2 linked regions of the Notamacropus eugenii genome follow. The protein of the gene in region 1 interacts with the protein of each later gene in a biochemical or structural test. Links are inferred from orthologs where the notes say so. Each region holds a gene or a part of one and is shown on either strand. Other genes may lie near its edges. The genes, in order: TOM1 and TOLLIP.

The links.
Region 2: the proteins of TOM1 (region 1) and TOLLIP form a complex in vitro, tested with the Homo sapiens proteins (3 studies listed by BioGRID and IntAct, with this or other methods). The link is inferred for Notamacropus eugenii from reciprocal best matches to the Homo sapiens genes TOM1 and TOLLIP.

Annotation. Positions count from the first base shown.
Region 1 is NC_092874.1:292,426,353-292,436,229, reverse strand, and holds the start of TOM1 (target of Myb1 membrane trafficking protein), read right to left. Parts: upstream 4,913-9,877; 5' UTR 4,839-4,912; coding exon 4,787-4,838; intron 1-4,786.
Region 2 is NC_092873.1:26,708,060-26,717,897, reverse strand, and holds the start of TOLLIP (toll-interacting protein), read right to left. Parts: upstream 4,951-9,838; 5' UTR 4,647-4,950; intron 4,321-4,646; 5' UTR 4,227-4,320; coding exon 4,204-4,226; intron 3,981-4,203; coding exon 3,942-3,980; intron 3,689-3,941; coding exon 3,538-3,688; intron 1-3,537. UniProt on the Homo sapiens protein: Component of the signaling pathway of IL-1 and Toll-like receptors. Inhibits cell activation by microbial products. Recruits IRAK1 to the IL-1 receptor complex. Inhibits IRAK1 phosphorylation and kinase activity.

The sequences.
Region 1 (9,877 bases):
TTTCCTCCACAGACAGCTTCCTCCAGCTCCCTAACTCCCACCTTCATCTTTCCAGATGAAAAAAAAATGGCAGTCTTTCTCCTAAATGGCTGTAAGAGAATCATTCCTAAAGCTTCATTTCTGACCTCTGCATTTGCCCAGGGGAAATCTCTATTTCCATGTCCCACTCACCAGAAACTAGATGTTCCCAAGATAGGCTGCAACACTTGTTCCTTTAAACATTCCCCAAAGGCCCTGCCACCTTTCCATAAACATTCCCCCAAGAGGGTTGGACCATCTTTCCACTTTCCCGTTTCCCTAATCCTGCTGATAATATCATCTACCTAAAACACCAGGCTTGCAACCCTACAAATAACTTTTGTTCTTCCCTTTCTCTGCCTTTTCTGCCCTCCCCACTCAATCATTAGGGAAAAACAGAAGGACTGTAATTCAGAGTCAGGGAGGCAACTGTTGTTTGCCTTATTAGTCGAATTTCACAGAGAAACTGAGGCACAGAGAGGTAAGTGATTTACCCAATGTCACACAGGTAGGTGGCAGAGCAAAATGAAAATTAGGGCCAGTCTCTGATATAAGTGGAAGCTACAGATCCCTTGTTTATTCAGCCCCTGTAATCCTCTGGGAGGTCCCATAGCTAGGAAACAGAATTCCTGAATCGTAGTCTGTCCTCAGGTTGTCTCCTGCCCTATGTTTTGGTGCTGGCAGGACCTGTCCTGGGACAGTACTTAGAAAATGCTTAGATAACCACCAAATGTAATCACAAGTGATTACTTATTAATCTGGAAACCTTTCCCTACTGGGCTGTTGCCCTGGTGAAGGGGCCCATGGATAGAGAAACAATAGCAGGAAGGTTAGTATTAACTAAATTATATTTGTCAGCCTGCAGAGATGAGGGGAGTCAGGGGTCACGGTGGACCCCATGGGCTGGAAGAGCCACCATCTGTCAGGTAGGAGGATGGAGGAGCCTGTGGAGTTCAAGCCTGCCCATATGGGCCCAAAAAATGAGTATAAAGATGCAGTTTTGAAGTGGATACAGGTGACCTTGTTCCATTATCAGCACAGACCCATGGAGACTGTAGCTCTGGGCTGTTCTGCCCGTGGCTGATGGGGCTCAGAGGCTACAGATCCTGCCCCTTGGGCCTGGTGGGGAGGCAGCTCTTCTGGGGAGAACCTTCCACCCCCAAAGAAGATGGCCTTGGGCCAACAGAAAGGATTCGGGATGAACCTAGATTAGTGCCATGCGGTTTCACTCTACCTCTGACTAAGGGAAGAATCAGGATGACTGGGCTGTTCAACCAATACCTCTCAGGGGCCTACTATGTGCAGGTTAGTACGGATGTATGGGCCTACTCCATGCAGAACACTGGATTAGTACAGATGTATGGGCCTACTATGTGCAGAACACTGGATTAGTACAGATGTATGGGTTTACTATGTGCAGAACACTGGATTAATACAGATGTATGGGCCTACTACGTGCAGAACACTGGGTTAATAAGGGTATATGGGCTTCCTACATGCAGAACACTGGGTTAGTACAGATGTATGGGCCCACTACATGCAGAACACTCATATCCTGTGCTTTTAGATTTGGGGCCCTGGGCACATCAATTAGTCCACTAAGCTTCGATTTCCTTCTTTATAACATGGGCATAATACTAAGTGGATTCTCCAGCCCACAAGGCTGCCATAAACCTCAGAGGGCTAAGAACATTCAAGTTACATTCAAGTTCAGTAATCCCTGAACCATGGGTTAATGTCAAAGGTGGCCACTAGGAGAGGAGGATGGTCTGCTTCTCCTGTTGGATCTGTCACTGACTCTGGGACCTTGGCTAAGTCACTGTGTGCCAGTGAGAATAAGAGGGCCAGACAAAGGACCTGCCAGACCCCTTCCAGCGCTGCTGGGATGCTCTGATGGCTGGGAGAGAACAGGAGTAGCTCAGGCTACCAAGAGGAGCTTCCTTAGCCTTCCAAGACCCCCTATACCTCCTGGTTAGTGCTAAGAAAGGCAAACCCTCAGGAAAACTGGTTACATACAAAAGGGAGCTTGCCAAAGAGTGAGGAGAGAGCTGGGTTCAAATCCTGCCTGATACTGACTAGCTACATGGTGCTGAGGAGATGATTTCTTTTTAGGCCTCAGTTCACTCATCTGTAAAATGGAGACACTATTGATAAGGTTTCCTTGGAAGGATTGGTGTGCCCACAGCTGGCAATGAAAGCTCTTCCCAGCTTATTGTCCTGCTTCATACATCATGCTCTCTCTCTCCCAAATCAAGCCTTTGCCCTGGTGGTCCCCTCTGCCTGGAATGCCATCCCTCCTCATTTCTGCCCTCTTTTGCTTTCTCTGAGTGCTCTCAGCAAACGCCTGGTCCACAGGAAGCAGACACTTCACAGATGCCTTCAGAGTTACACTCTATGAATTGCTGTAACTCAGAATGGTGAATTTTCTCCAAAAATCCATTGTATTTGTCAATTAGGGAAGCTCCAATCTTGGCCAGAAGTGAAAGTGGGGCAGTCTGGGACTGGGGGGTGGGAAGACTCAGGAGCCACAGGCATGCTCTCTCCAGCCCAGAACCTGACTCATGGTCAGGTGGCCTTCCAGGAGGCGTCTAAAGCTGGGATCACCCCACCCTGGGAGGAATCTGAGAACAGTTATTCTGACCACAAAGGCTGGAATTCCAGAGATGGGGGATGAGCTTGGGATGAAATCAGATCAGACATTTGGAATTGGAAAGGACAGTCAGTCTGCAAGGCTGCCCTGCCCAGGCCAGTCCCAGGACCAGAATCCCAGTCTTTCTGGTTCAGAACTCTCATTGTAGAAGATGCCTTGGGGGGTGGGGGGTGGGGGGCAGGGGGAGAGGAGGAGTCAGATCCTCACAACAACCTTGGGAGAGAGGGGCTGGTAGTAGTCCCACTTTCAGGTGGGGAAACTGAGGCAGACCTAGCTGACTTGCTCAGGGTTACATACTTAAAAAGTAGCTGAAGCTAAGTTTGGACTAGTTGTGCTCCACCCGGTGAGTAATCCAGCCGCCTTCTGAATCTCATCTTATCCTCAGCACAGTCTTGTTAAGCAGGTCATGCAAATATTAAAAGGCCTGGTTCAGGTCCTCATCCCTTCTGGCCTTTTGATAGCATCCCCAGCCCTGTCTTTCCCCTCACCCAGATGCCACTCTGCCTCCTCCCCTCCAGTGGCACCCCATCACCTCCAGGATCAAATAGAAAATAAAGTCCTTCACCCCATTCCAGTCTTCCACCTTCCACCTCCTGTGTGCTGGTGTTGCTGTTTCCAGAACACATAACTCTTATTTCCCACCCACAGGCCTTTGCACTGTCTGTGCCCCATGCCTGGAAGCCTGTCCTTCTTCACCTCTGCTCTTTGCTACCCCAGTTTCTCCAGGACTCAGTTCAAATCCTACCTTCTTCCAAAGGCCTCTCTTGCGAGATGATTTTCTCTCCACTCTGTACCCATTCCCTAGGCACAGCCATCTTCCCACCCATACAAAGGGAGCTCCCCTTTCTTTGGGTCTCCAGCCCCTCCCACTATGCCTGGCCCGGAGTAAGCACCTAAAGGAGCTGCTGACTGACTGATCACAGACAAAGCAGGGTCTTCCAGTGGCCCCCTCCTCAGCTGGGACAGACCCAGCCTCAGGTCCTCCCTTCTACTTTTCAGAATTCTTTTTTCCTTGGAGGATCAGCTTCATGCCACCTACTCCATGAAGCCCCCCTTCCTCTTCCTAGGATCAACTTTTCATTCATCTGCATAACTATGACACCCACTGTATACATGTTAGTCAGTTAATTAACTGATTAACTGCAGTGACTTCTCAGAATATCAGGCCTAAATGCGTGGTCTCCCCTCAACAGGACACGAGCTTTTCCAGGCCAGGGACCATCTAGATTGGTGACCCCCAACGCACACAGTAAGTGCTTAATAGATGCCTTTTCATTCAGAGGATCAAAAATCTACCGGAGAATGGGGACAGATGAAGGGGTGTGGCCCGGGGGAAGTGAGGCAGGATTGGGACAGAAAGTGCTGTAGCCAGCATTTATTAGGCGCCTACTGTGGGCCGCGGTCTGGCGACACAGAGAAGACCCAGACTCACTGCTTCCCCAGCCCAGGGCTACGCGCACAGTAGGGAGCTTTCCCCCTCCCCTGTATCTGGTCTGCACGTGGTCACTCTGAGTCCTCCAGGGCACACAGCAGGAGCTACAAAAATGCTTACTGACCAATTTATGTCCGTGGAACTGCACCCCCATTTTGCAGATGAGAAACTGAGGCTCAGACAAGAGAAGTGACGCAGAAAAGTTGGGAAGACCCTCGGGGCACTGGTCCGCCCCGGAATAGTCAGGGGCAGGACTGGAACCCAGATCCTCCGCCCCCCCAGGCTCTGTCCCGTGGATCCCTCTGCCTCGAGGTCCCTCGCCCGGGTGCCGAGTGCCAGACCCCGGACACCCCTGTCCCGGCGCAGCTGACGCTCGGAGCCCCGGGGGCGGGAACGCTGCGGGCCCTTTAAGAGAGAAAACTTTCTGCCCGGCTCCGGGGACCTCCTCGGGCGCTGATTGGATAAGCCGCGGCCTCCGGCTCCCGCCCCCCAAGCAGGCTATAGGCCCGAGCCCTCGCCAGTCGGTCAAACCACCTTTTCTATTGGCTCGAGGACGTTGTCACTCCGCGCTCTCGAGGCAGGGGGGGAGGATCCCCTGAGTCCCCTAGATCTGGGGCTTCGAGCCCGAGGGGTCCCCAGGAGGCGGAGGCCGGCATTGGGGAGGCCGGGACGCGCGGAGCACTTACCGATGCGCTGCCCCACAGGGGAGCTGAACGGGTTCCCCAGGAGAAAGTCCATGGTCGCCGCCGCCGCCACCCCTCCGAGCCCGAGGGATCAGCTGACAGCAACTGCCACGGCCTCGGAGTCGTCACGTGACCCGCCCCCCCCCCCCCCCGAGCAGCCACAGGCCCCGCCCCGTGACGTGCCAATCACCGGCACGAGGCGTAGGCGCGCGGTGGGAGCAGGGGGCCCTCGTGACGTCACGCAACCTCGCCACCCCGCAGCCTCCTCCGCGGAATGTCAGAGGTCATCGAGGGCAGCCCCCGGCCTCCCCTCCTCCACCGTTGCACACCGGAGGCCCAGAGAGGGGGCGGGGCTTGCCCGCAGCTACAGCCATAAGCGACTCCCTGGCTGCCTGCGGCCTCAGTTTGCCCCTCCGTGCCAGGGGGCGTTCCCGGCTGGCCCCCGGGGGCTCCGGGTGTAAGGACTCTATGGTAAAAGGGAGAGCGGAGAAGGGCGAGGGGATGGGCTCGGAGTGGGAACGCCGGGTTCCCCTCCTACCTGCCGAAGTCACCGTCAATCAGCATTTATTAAGCACCTCCTGTGTGCCAGCCCCGGAGCGCATATAAGGAAAGTCAGGGGCCGCCCTTGCCCTCTAAGAGGGACCAGGAGACCGGCACAAACTCCTGCCTTGTGCGGCTTCCCCCCTGGAGCCCTCACTGTTGTCATTTCCGTGGTATCTGGCACACAGTAGGCACTCAATAAGTGCTCATGGGGGGCTGGACGCAGTGATCCCCAAGTCACCGTATGATTCCTCCCCACCCCTGGTCACCATGGCAGCTCACTAAGCAGTCCTTCCCCGTTAGCCAACTCCTTGGTATTCCAGCATCTGTTTGGGGGCTTTATGGAGCTCCTGGCTCTCCCCCTCCCCCTACAGATGGGTAAACCAAGGCCCAGCCGTCATGTAGTGACCTAGGCTCTCACCTAACTTTTCTGCTCACTGGCTGTGCCAACCTGGGTAAGTCCATCTCCCTTTGTCTCAGTTTCTATTTGAATAATTAAGTGGAGAACAGGGACACCTAAAGGAGCTGAGGGTTGGACTGATTTCCCTGTGGTTGTAAGCACGTCATCCTTCCCCACCCTTCCGGTAAGGACTAGGACTATTAGACCATTCATTGTTTTTTCCAAAACAGTCAGTGGTCCCTTTCCAACAAGCCTATCTGTTCACTCTGAAAAAAGAAGGAAAATCCAGGAATTGGAAACCCCAAGGGGAGAGAACCACTTGGCAAGGTGTTGCCCTTTCAAGATGGAAATCAGGTGGGCCAGCTTCAAGTTATTTTATTAGATGTTTGACTTCTCTAAACCTATTTCCTCATCTGTAAAATGGAGATAATTACATTTTTACTGGCTGTCTCATGGCGTTATTAGGAAGATGCCATAAACACAAAAAAATTCATAAAAACAAGTTTTCTTTATTATTATTAGGTGTTAAGTATTCATTGATTACAATAATGTGATTTTTAAAAGACCTAAACAAAAGTTGAAATCTGTTTAGGCCTCAGAGGAAACCTTAAAAGTGCTATAAAAATATTAGTTGCTGCTATGGTTCAAGTCAATTCAATAGACATTTATCAGACACCGGTATGTGCCAGGTCCTGGGAATACAAAGTAAAAAATGGAAGCATTGTTTGCTCTCAAGGGTTACATTCTACTGGGGGACAGGGGAGAGGGAGAGAATGTACACAGACAAGCGAATACAAACGTATACCAAGTTATTGGGAGGAATCAGGAAAGACCCAACCATAGGGTACCAGGGCCTTGTACTTGCATAAGCCCTAGAGTTTTCAAAGTGCTTTCCAATCCATATTTAACACTCACCACAGCCATTAAAGGGGCTTCAACAATGATCTGGCTCTTTCTTTGACCAGCTGTGTGACTGCAGACAAGTGATAACCTTTCCAAGCCTCCCTGCCTCATCTGTAAAATGACGTTAATTCTTGTGCCATAAGAGGGTAATTGTCAGGAAAGTGCCTCGTCAACCTTGATGTGCTACACATGGGAGCTATCAGAGTAGAAAGGGAGATCCCCATGCCCTTAATTTACAGAGAAGGACACTGAGGTCGAGGCTGCCAAAAGTCTCCCAGTTACCGATGAGTAGTAAAGACGAGACATTCAGATCTTCTGACTCTCTTTAAAGGAGTCTTTCCATAATACCATATGCTTAACCCCATGAGGTAGGCAGGCATTGTTAGAGGGAGAAACTGAAACCCAGAGATAAATGAATGAATGGTGCCAAGTGTGGGGGAAGCAGATAAAATAAGTCACATTCCAGTGGGGGAACTCACTAAGTTATTTGCTCATGTGTTTTGCATGGTCAGGAAGGAGGTGTGGAGCACATTTTGACACCAGATTGGGGCTGCCTTCTCCCATGTGTCTGCTTCAGAGGAGAACAGAGGAAGAGTGTGCAAAAACCACAGGATCTTAGAGATGTCTAAGTTCAGCTCCATGCATTTAATGGATCAATTTTACTTTATCTTCCATCAGCAGACATGTTTAAATGGATGTAGGGAAAGCAAAGACAGACCCAGAAAAATCCCCAGAAGCACAATGGAACTCCCAAACAAGTCATAGAATAAGCATATAACCCATTGACCAAGTAAAAATAAAAACAAGAGAACATGTCTCACTCCAGAAGTCAATGGGTGGCAGTGGAAAAAACTCCCTGTTCTGGAGTCACAGGTCCTGGGTTCAAATACTGCCTCTGATGCATATAATCAAGTTACCCTGGGCAGACCTAGACCACAAAGCCTCTGAGATTCTTTTCATTTCTAGATTTAAGATGCCCTGATGCCATAAAGTGTGGGTTGGCAAATTACATAAATCATCCTTAGGTTCATACAAAAATCCTTAGGGGTTTGCCAACCCCTGCTCTAGGCAAGGAAAACAATGATAAAAAGTGGTGACTGGACTGGTGTCCTTGCTATTGGACAGAAGAGACAATGACCACGGGACTCATGAGTTACTGTTTTTCCAGTTCAGTGTTCTCTGCCTCTACGCAGGTCTGTTGACACCTGTTCTTTGGGCTTCTGCTTTCTCTCTCAAATTCATTAACTAATGACATATCTTTGCCTCTTCTCTTATGGTGAAGCAACATTCCCATCTAATCTCATACAGTAATTTCTTCAGCCATCCCCCTAATGGGCACCCAAGTGGCTTCTGGATTTTTTTCCATCCTACTTTTCACAGATGAAGAAAGAAGGGAGGGTCACAGGAGAATATTGGAACCCAGGACTCCTGGCTTGTGGACTGTCTCCATCATACCACCTGGTCTCGTGCCTAGACTCAAGAGCTGTTCAGGACCCAAGGCTTCCCTTCCCTCTCTAAACTTGATGCCTTCCCATACTTAAGTTGATCTGGGATTGAAAAGATTGAAACTTTTTTTTTTAACATGCTAGGCAATTCCATGAGATTGGGAGCTTTCTGAGGGCAGGGACTGTCTTTTGTCACTTTTCGTATCCCCAGGGCCTTAGGATGGTATCTGGCATACAGTAGGCACTTAATAAATGATGACTGAATTCTTGCCTCTCCCTTTCAGTAAGTCCTCCACATGGAGTGAACTAAAGGCCTTCCTTTGAACATTTTGGGCAGGCCAGGGCCATGGCCGCAGTAGGAAGGGTCTGCTTTCTGTTTTCTATTACCCTTCATTCTCACTAACTGACTGGCTCTGTTTCCCATTTCTACCTTCACACCGTCAAAACAGTCACTCAGATGTCACCAAATGCTTGGCTTAGATGCCATTTGTAGATGATCGTAGGCAAGTCATTCACTTACAAGCTGCGGTAGTGATGGTGGTGGGGAACCCAATGATCAACTAATCAACCAGAAGGAATTTATTAAACTCCCAGTTTTGCAGGCCCTCCCTGTGCTCAGAGCTCGGGGTACAGAGACAAAGGAAAGCAGTACATTCTAATGGGGGTGGGTCTTGGGCCTCCTATGACAAACTTCCCACTACTTAGGTAACATGTGGTTCCACAACTTGTGAATTCATTTGACAAGTATCTGGAAAGTGTTGACGCCCCTCTGCTGCCCTCTTCCATCAGTGCAGGGAAGACAGTCTGATCCAAACCTACTTCCCAGCTAGGGCTGAACAAGGTGGTCTACACACATTTATTGTTTGATTAATGAATTCTGGCTAGTTTCCACACCCACTAATAGATTCCTCCATAAATCAGCCTCTTCCCATTTCTATGGTTTCTTCTCTCTTTGTACTAGGTGGCTCGCCAGTCCTGCTTTCCAATCCCAAACACCCTCCCAGGTCTTTGCAAGGTGGTCTCCTATGCCTGGAATGCACTCCTTCCAACTCCACTTTAAGAACCCCAGCTTATTTCCAAGAACAGTACAGTTCAGCTGCTCCTGAATCAAATCAAATGTTTAATTTACTTCTGTCCTGTTATACCCTGCCTCCGCTATAGCTCTTTGAGGGTAGCGATTGTCCTCATGGCCCTAATGCCTTGAACATACATAGTGGGGGCTTAATATGACTTGAATTTGATTTTATCCCACAATAAAGGCACAGGAGGCAGTATGGCTTAGTGGATGGGGCTAGTCTCAGAGTTAGGAAGACCTGGGTTCCAACGCTTCCTCAGACACACTGTGCCTGTGACTCTAGATAACACTCTTAAGACTTAGTGTCAGAGAAGGTGCTGATTTGCATTGATAGGAAGGAATTCCTTGAAATCACAGGTCTAGTCAAAACAAAGATACAATTTTATTCCTCTCAGCCTTGTGATATTTCTGCTCTGTTTTGTCTGAGTAATGTTTGTGTCTAGCATTTTCAGCTTTTCAGACAAGTCTTAATCCCGTTAACGTGAGGCTGAAGGGGGGGAAGGAAAGAAATCCATTAGCATGAACACTGAAAGCTGAAGGTTAACTCCCTGCAACCATCCAGGATGGGCTAATGTAGACACTGATCACTCTGTAAAGGAGGTTCCCCAGGGACCTTCTGCTAGCCACAGGCCTGAGGAGCGGGGTGAGGCAACCTTGGCGGTCTCCAGTTGCACCAACCAGATATTCAGCAGAAAGAGAAGTGACAGGGGAAGGTGGGAAAGGAGGCTGGA
Region 2 (9,838 bases), on another chromosome or scaffold:
GAGACCTCCTACCACAATTACAATGCACCATTTACAAGCTATCCTGTGAGTCCAGTCATGTAACCACCTCTGAATCTGTCTGCATTGAGGAAACAGAAAATACTACCCCAGTGCACTAATCATTTTGTGAATGCATGTTTTGTCTGCGCTGAAATGTTCATGGGTGGCGAAGATCCAGGTCATACTTGTTTGGTGACCCTCAGTGAGTACCATGGCTAAAGGAGGCATGCCCTAGTTCTCTGACTGATGCCACAGTGCCAGCAGAAACCCACTCAACTGTCACACCAGCAGGCCTGGAGAAGCCGCCCAACCTGTGAAGCCTCTGGTGACTTGGGAATCCTTTCCCCTATCTTACAAATGAGGAAACTGAGGCCCAGGGAGCTCAAATGATTTTCTAAAGGTCACACAGGTTGATGATGGCCTCCAGGCCAGGCCACCCTGGCACCGTTCAGTGGGTTGGCTTTCATTCTATGCCTGTCCAAGTGATCAAAGAAAATGGAAGAAGGACCGATATGTATAATAATATTGATAGCGACTCTCTTTGTGGTGGCAAAGAACTGGAAATGGAGGGGATGCCCTTTGATGGGCGAATGGCTGGACAAGACGTGGTGTACGACTGCAATGGAGTACTACTGTGCTGTAAGCAACAGGAGGAGGATAATTTCTGGAAAACTCACATGGACTGATGCGAAGTAAAACATGCAGAGCCAGGTGAACATTGTGCCTGTGTAAAGGCAAGCACCCTAACACACACACAAGTGCCGGCGGTTCTTAGATTTGCTTTTCTAAAAGGAGGATCACTTGTGAGGGGTCACTGGAATCCAGAACACGTGCCATTCACTCAGTTTTTAGGGGAAAAGTCAGCACCATGAACTTCAGAGAAATCAAAGTCAATAGACAGGGCTTCCAACTGTCTGACACACGCCACAGACCAACAGACAGACAACAGTCTGACATACGCCACAGATCAACAGACAGACAACCGTCTGACATACGCCACAGACCAACAGACAGACAACCGTCTGACATACGCCACAGACCAACAGATGGACAACTGTCTGACATACGCCACAGACCAACAGACGGACAACTGTCTGACTATCACATACATAGTTACCAAAGCCTCAAAGCCAGGGGTTCCTTAGGGGCTGCCCAGAGTCTCCTCTGGCCTAACAACACTTCCCATGAGGAAGCCCTCAAGTGAAACCTCACCAGAGAGTATTTATACACTTTTCAGGGCCAGAGGGCATCACAACCCTTGAGAACCAGCGCCTCATTAGAAGACTGACAAAAGGCGTAGGCCTTCCCACAAATCTCCCCTAATCAAACCCCCCTTTATGGGGGGATTAACGGGTGGGGAAGATCTTTAAAGTCCTTAGCATTACAACCTCCTAACAGCCATAATGTACTTGGCCATTCTCAGCAGTGCGGATGCCCTGAGACAATCCCAAAGGCCTCATGATGAAATGTACTGCCTACAGAGAGAAAAATGATGCACTGAGTACGGATCAAAGCAGACTATTTTTACTTCAGTTTCTTGCTTTACTTTTTTGTCTGTTTTCTTTCTGTAATGTCTTCAGTCATGTCTGACTTTGTGACCCTCTTTGGGGTTTTCTTGGCAGAGATACTGGAGTGATTTGCCAGAGGAGGAAACTGAGGCAAGCAGGGTAAAGTGGTTTATGGTCACACAGCTAGTCAGTGTGTGAGGCTGGATCTGAACTCAGAAGCTGAGTGGCCCTGGAGCTACACGCTTTCTTTTGGGACATGGCCAACATGGAGATGTGTTCTGCATGACTTCACACGCATAATCAATATCAGATCGCTCGTCTTCTCAAGGGGAGTGGGGGACAGAAATGAGGGAGAACTTGGAACTCCATTTTTTAAAACAAATGTTAAAAAAATGTTACATGCAATTGGAAAATGTTTGATGAAATAAATAAAAATGTTCCAAAGAGAAGAAATTTACTTCTTTTACAGTATCCCCCACTTGGACCGACCAGAGCCCCTTCTCAGTGTCCCCTGGATGAAGCACGAAGCAGGCAGCAGCCTGGGGCCCGAGGCCCAGCTTCCGTCGGGGGCTGCTGGGTCGAGCACGACTGAGTTCTCATATTTAGATCCAGGCACTTCCATAAATCTGCTTCTCCCCATGGTGCAATGTCCCCAAATGTCCAAACTCAGGAAAGAAAGAACGATCGGGCCCGGCCCCTCTCGTGGCACCAGAGGACACCCCAAGCCAAGGCTGTGCAGACTCACTGTGCATCAGGAGCCAAGCACAAAGCTTCGGTCTAGAAAATCGGTCAAACTATTCAAAGGATTCAAAATGACGGACAAAGTCTGGAACTACAATATCTTACACTGTGTTAGGAAGTGAAAGGCTGCTTGGCTTCAGCATTTAAAATGCCTCTGTCAGCACCAGTGCTCCTTTTTTTAAAAAGTACAAATGAGGAAAAACAAATTCTATGTCACGGAAATGGAAGCCTGACTAGCCTGCTGAAGCAGCCTAGGGTGCATCCACGAAACCAGTCAGAAGTGTTTACTAAACCCTGGGAGTGATAGCCACACCATGATGGCGTCTGTCCTGGACACAACAGAGCTTGAACACTCTCTCTGGGACCTCCTCCCTAAGCAGTCCCCCTCCCCAATGACAATCCACCCTTTCCTTTCTCTCTGAGCTAAGTCTACACTCCAAGATTGCCTCCAAGAACCCCAGGGGCCTGGAGGCCTAAACCATCTGGGCCACACAGACCATTGCTTGCCCAATGACAATCTCCTTGTGCTGCAGTGACACCCATCTTCACTTGCTTCCTAGCTGTGTGGATGGGCACAGGCATCTCAACCATACAACCACATTCCATTAAACACCTACTTTGTGCCACACTCTGGGTCAGAGGGTAGAGGTACAAGGACAAAGAATGGACCGATTCCTTCTCACTGGGAGCTTCTGTTCTCATAGGGAAGTTGTGGGCATGTGGATGTGCACACAACACAAACATGCAGGTAACACACACACACGTGTGTGCACGAGCACACAATGCTTAAATCCAAGAAGGTAGTTCAAGGAGGTAGGCAACTGAGTACAGATGAGGGTATCTGGGCTGAGCCTGTTCCAATGAGGTAAGTGGCCAGCGGGAGACAGCCAGTCTCTGTCTCTCCTGCTCCTGACGGAGGCCAGTCTAGACAGGGTGGGAGCCACACCCTGTGAGACTGGGGGGGGGGGGGGGGGGGCCTGTCACACCTTCTAAGTGCTCTCCCCTGGAGCTGTCATGAAACACCAATGAGATCGTGGCAGCTCAGGGCTCTGCCCATCTCTAAAAGCTACAGAAACTTCTGTTAATTCCTATTAGGACCAAGTGGTCCTGGGACCAGGGGCGGGACTGTATAACTTTGTAAAGTGCCAGCTCTAGCTGAGCTGGAAAGGCTAAGGAGCCCGGGAGGCCTGGGCCACAGTGACCAAGTTGTCCTAAACGCTCAGTTAAACCAAAACAGCCCAGCAGTTCTTCTGACCAAACAGGCAGGTCGGCAGGACAGGGACAGCACCTGGGATTTCCTAACAGTAGGGCGGGAAGCCAGGTCCTTCCCATTCCACCACAGAGCCCGCCTCTTGTTCAATGTGTCTTCAAAGTACTCCAAGCTGGCAGGTGCCTGCCTATACTCCTGGGGTATCAAGGTCTCACGGGTTTTCTTGTCACTAAAGTAGGCAGAAATGGGGGAGGAGGGCAAGAGAATCTTGGTCACTGAGGCCAACTCTGCGGGAACCAAGCTAGAGAGGATCTGGGAGGAGACAACGGGAAGTGAAGGGGACCGGGTGCCCCAGCTCACGTTGTCTTGTTAGGGGGATCAAGACAAAATGGCGACTTCAGCTCAGAGGAAGGATACCAGCCAAAGGTGGTACCACATGACCGAGGGAGGGGCCGAGAAGACAGGGCTGGTAGGAGGCTGACCTGAGGGCTTGGACCAGAAGGCTCCTTCTCCTCTGGGGCCTGTTGGGCAAAATCAACATGTGCCTCAGGTACTGGCTCTGCTACACAAAATTCAGGATTCGGCATCCAAGCTCAGCCACCCACCCAGCCCCAGCACCTCTGGCTGAATTCCTAGGAGCTGAGCTTTCCTTCTCTTTCCCACGCCTCTCCCCACCCCTCAGGGGCTTCTGGTCCTTCCCTAGTCAGGATTCCTAATCCACAAAACACAGGAAGCCACACTCACCTGAGTCCCTCGTTCCTAGGCATGGCTGCCAAGGTCTAAGGCCTTCTCATGCCAGGACATCTTGTACCACCCCAATCTTCCCCTTCTTCCATCACTAAGTTCCTTCCAGAGCCCCCACTGTGAGGAGGAATGAGCCCAGCCATGGCCTCCATGCCACCCGCCCCCCTTTCAGCTTGACTGCCTCTCCCTCCCAGGGCTGCCACAGAACCTGGCACACAGCTGAGGCTGTACAACCGTCAGTTATCACTGTCATTCCAGAACACAATTACCTATCACCATCCTCACAACAAGCCTGTCATCACCCCCACTTTACGGATGAGGAAACTGAGGCAAACAGGGTCACCCGGCCAGGATTTGAACTCAGGCCTGCCTGACTGTGAGCCCAGAGCTGTCCCTACCGATGGACCCTCCATCCCTGTCCCCACGTGTGAGTATTTCCGTGCCTGCCTCCCTGCGGAAGGACCGAGGCTGCGGGCACACGCTCCTCATGGCTCAGCAGGTTTCCACAGGCCTTGACCCTGAGGCCACAGGGAGCCACAGGAGGTGACTGGGGAGGGAGGGTCTGGGGGAGGTAACGGGGCGGATAAAAGCACGAAGTCCGGAATCATCGCCGATAAAACCCGTCTAAAACAAGGCATTTAGGGGGAGGGGGCTGGCAGCCCTGGTGGAATCGAGTTTCCCCATCTGCGCTCGAGGAGGAAACGGCCAGCCCCCCCCCCGCCCCCCGGGGTCACAGGGCACCAGCCCCTGATGGAAGGACCGGGGGCACCTTCGGGTGTGGGGGCTGCCCCTCCCCCCCAGCACCCCGCAGGGCTCTGCCCCCTCGGGGGCACCTTCGGGTGTGGGGACTGCCCCTCCCCCCCAGCACCCCGCAGGGCTCTGCCCCCTCGGGGGCACCTTCGGGTGTGGGGGCTGGCCCTCCCCCCCCAGCACCCCGCAGGGCTCTGCCCCCTCGGGGGCACCTTCGGGTGTGGGGGCTGCCCCTCCCCCCGCCTGAGCGCCCCGCAGGGAGGGCCGCTGACCCCACAGCCCAGGTCACAGAGCCCCCGGGGCCGCCCGGCTGACCCCTGACCCCGGCCCTGCTCACCCGGGAGCCGCCCCCCTCCCCCTACACGGGGGGGGCCTAAAGAGAGCTGGAGCCCCTCCCCCCACGAGACCCCCGGAGGGCCCCCCGCCTTACCGGGCCCCGCTGGGTACTGACGGTGGTCGCCATGGCCGCGTCACCCGCTCCCCGCCCGGACCCGGGGCCCAAACCCCGGCGCCTCCTCCTCTTCCTCCTCCACCGACGCCGCCTCGGGCTCGTCAGCTGACTGACCGCCCGCCTGGCCCCGCCCCCGGCTCCGCCCCCGGCGCGCGGCGCGCGGCCACGCTGCGCAGGCGCACGTAGGCCCTGCCCAGCGACAGTCGCCTGGGAGTGGGGCAGCTTCCGCTTCCGACACCTTTTGAGTTCCGCCCCGCCCCCCGGCAGAGCCCGGATGTTCCCGGATACAGCCGCGTCTGCGCAGTCCGCCGCCTTCGCGAATGCCTCCTGGCGGACACTCAGCTCACACACCGAACCGGGTCTGCTTGGGAGCATGGGTGGCCCGGGGCGGGGCTGAACGAGTCCGGGCTGGATGGGGTCCTCGAAGGACCGCAACGAGGCAGGGTCCGGCCAGTCCCTGCACCCCCTCTGAAATACTTACAGGGACAGGGAGCTCAGCGACTTTCCAGGACCTCCCTTAGGATGGCTCTCACCATTGAGGTTCTAGCCGCAGCTTCCCCCCACGTGGCTGCGACGGCTACAAAGGGAAGGCTCCCCTCTTCCCTCCCTCAGTTTCCCGAGTTTGCACTTTCATGCACTCGGGTATTCCTGGAGATGCTGGGGGCATCTCTTTGCCCATTCTCCCCACCACGCGCAATCTGCCCTTCGGAAGTCCTAACCTGACCCTGCAAATGAGCCCTGCCCTGGACGGACAAATCCAGCCCTAACCTCTCTCTGCCCCAGTTTCATCTACAGGCATCTCAAACTCGGCTTGTCCAAAGCAGAACTTGCCATCTTTCCCCCAAACCTTCCGTCTACAACACCCCCACTCTCCCAGTGCCCCAGGCTCCCAACTTATGAGGCATCCTGGGCTCCTCACTCTCACCCCCAGATCCAAGATGGTGCCAAGGTATGTCCATTTCACCTCTGCTACATCTCTTGTCCATTTCACCTCTGCTACATCTCTTGTCCATTTCACCTCTGCCATCTCTTGTCCATTTCACCTCTGCTACATCTCTTGTCCATTTCACCTCTGCTACATCTCTTGTCCATTTCACCTCTGCTACATCTCTTGTCCATTTCACCTCTGCTACATCTCTTGTCCATTTCACCTCTGCCATCTCTTGTCCATTTCACCTCTGCTACATCTCTTGTCCATTTCACCTCTGCTACATCTCTTGTCCATTTCACCTCTGCTACATCTCTTGTCCATTTCACCTCTGCTACATCTCTTGTCCATTTCACCTCTGCTACATCTCTTGTCCATTTCACCTCTGCCATCTTTTGTCCATTTCACCTCTGTCATCTCTTGTCCATTTCACCTCTGCTACATCTCTTGTCCATTTCACCTCTGCCATCTCTTGTCCATTTCACCTCTGTCATCTCTTGTCCATTTCACCTCTGCAGCATCTTTTTGTGTCCCCCAGTGCTTAGCATAGTGCCTGAAACATAGTAAGGGCTTAGGAAACCTTAGTTGATTGATTGCTTGGTTGATACAGACCCTCATCACTTCACACATGGACTATTGCCATAGCAGCCAGTGCATCTACCTGCCTCAGGTTTCTCTCCAATCCAGCCTTCATTCAGCTGATCTTCCCAAAGGGTGAGTCTGACCACATCACCACTCCCATCCCACTCAGTAAACTCTAGCAGCTCCCTTTGACCTTCAGATTCAGATAGGAAGTTCTTTGGCATTTAAAGCTTCTCACATCTTGGCCCCCTATGACCTTTCTAGTGCACTTATATTCTACCTACCTCCAGCACTTGGAAAAACAACCAATGCTTGTTGACTGACTGGTTCTCCACGATCTACTCTTCCCCACCAGTGGCCTGCTCTTTCTCACCTCTGACTCCAAGAATTTCAGGCTTCCTTTAAGACTCAACTCCAGTGTCACCTTCTGAAAGAGGACTCTCCTGACCACTCCCCTGCACTGATGTCTTTCCTTCTTAACTTTCCATTTATCTGTCCATCTGTCTATTCATTGACCTTGAATGTCCTGATTTATATGTTATCTCCCCTATTAGAATGTCAGCCCCTTGGGGGCTGGGATTATTTGTATTTTCTGCCTCTCCAACACTAAACACAGTGCCTAGTGCATTGTTCGGTCATTTTCAGTGGTATCCTACTCTCTGTGACCCCATTTGGGGGTTTTTTGGCCAAGGTAGTGAAGTGGTTTTCCATTTCCTTCTCCAGCTCATTTTACAGATAAGGAAGTGAGACAGAGAGGGCTAAGTGACTTGCCCAGGGTCACACAGCTACTAAGTGTCAGAGGCCAGATTTGAACCTAGGAAGATGAGTCTTCCTGTCTCTAGGTCTGGCAAGCTATCCACTGTGCCACCTAGATGCCCTGACCTAGCACACAGTAAGCACTTAATAAATGCTTGTTGATTTTTGATATCATATAAATCATTTTATTATTCCTGATTTTAGCCTCTATCATGTTCCTCGAAGCAATGGCTCAGAACCTTTTTCCTCATGGATGGTGGTGCCTGCTATCATCCAGAAATGGGGGTCTTTGGAGGAAAACAGTTCACAGACAAAGAGAATCAGCTCTGTTTTGTACAAAATAAATTCAAGTTGCCACCTGGATACCTAGGAGCCATGTGTATGTCCATGGCAGTTGGCCATGTGGGGCAGAGTTCACAGAAAGACGTGAGCTGGCTATATAGTTTGAGCCATCAAAGCAGAACAGATGCTTAACTGATGGGAGCAAATGAAATCACAAAGGAGAAAGAAGTGTAAGGAGAGAAGAGGAACACCGGGGAGAAATTTTTGTGGATGGTCCATCAAGGAACACTGAGGAGTGAGTGCTAGGGACGTGGTGAACTAGAGCACAGTCTCAGAGAGCCAAGAAGAGAAAATGTGTCTAGGAGGAAGTGGATCAGTGCTGTCCCAAGCTGGTTGACTTCAGGAGGACCTAAATAACATCACAATGTTGGGGTCAGTGCCCAGGATGTCCAGCCATGGCTGCTTAGGCCAGTACAAGCTAGGAAAGCTCTGCCACAGGTCCTACACAAACAATCCATCTGGACATTTGGGAGGGGGATGTCTCTGAATTTGCACATCTTACGTTTCTTTTGAGCTAATGCAATTCTGCTTTGCTTATAGAACACAGTGCCTTCTTTGATTCGGGCACGCCATACTCCGCAGTCATTTGTCAGTGCCTCCTGTGTCTCACAATTGATTCCAGAGTTCTTCAGAGAGACCTTGAGAGTGTCCTTGTATCACTACAAAGAAGACAAGAAAAACTCCTCAGATTCAGTATTTCAGAGGTCATTTGTAAGTTTTAGCCAAGTGGAGGAGCTGATAAAGGAGGCAGCAAGTGTAGATGGTTCTTTCCAGAAGAGTGGCTATGCGAGGGAGAAAGGATAAAGTCCCTTAGTTTCTCACTGGAGGACAGTGTAAGGAATGGGAAAGTACATTCAGCATTCAATTCCAATTCCAAAAAAATTCCAATTTATATCCCCATAAATACAAAGAGAGAGCCAAAGTGTTTCCATTTTTGGCATTTGAGAGGAGACTAGGAAGTAGCCTGCAGGCTCCAAGCTCAAGCATCCCCCATCAGTCCTACTTTCAGGGGTGGGAGGGATCAAAGTTGCTGGACCAGCTACCCAGACTCTCAAAGTATTCTTTGACCCTGACCTTTGGGAAAGGGGGTGGGGAGAAGGAAAGGAGGGAAGCCTTTGAAGGCAGAGTGAGATACCAAAAAGCAGCTGCTAAAAGTTAAGCCACAAGGCCCTGCTGGAGGATTGGGATTTGGGGAGGACAAGAAATGAGCAGGTCAGGTGCCTGCAGATCAGGACCCAGCGCCAGCAAGAACCTGCAGATGCTGCGTGAGAAATGGATATGTGGTCCCTGCTTTTCCTCTTCCTACACCTGTAAAACAGAACAAAATTACCTTCCTCTAAACATATCTATTTCTGTGCCTGTCACCACCATCCTTGAGGAAGGAGAGGATTCTGAATAATTGTTTCAGGGCGTGTGATAGAGCCAAAATAGGGAAGAACTCGTTTTGGGGGCAGCCATGAGATGAGAGTCCCAGCTCAGACTGAATGTTATGAATTTTTTTACATTATTCTTTTCCTTTCCCCTTCCCCATTCGTTTATTCATTGTTTTAATGAGTGATCCAAGAGAAAGAGAGGGACCCCCATCCCTGGGAAAATACCCTCTCTTGGATGGAAGCAACGCAGTGCCCAGTGCCACCGAACTCTGGGACAAGCAGCCATGCCCCTCTGCCCCCTTGAAGGCAGAGCTCAGGGCCCAGGGCTTAAGGAAAACTCATTCCTGCAGAATCAACTTCGCTTCCCTGGACTCAGAGGATTAACATGGAAGCCTGCCTTGCTCGACAGCGCCCCCTGGTGGTTATACTCAAACAAGCAGCCTCTAGTGGATG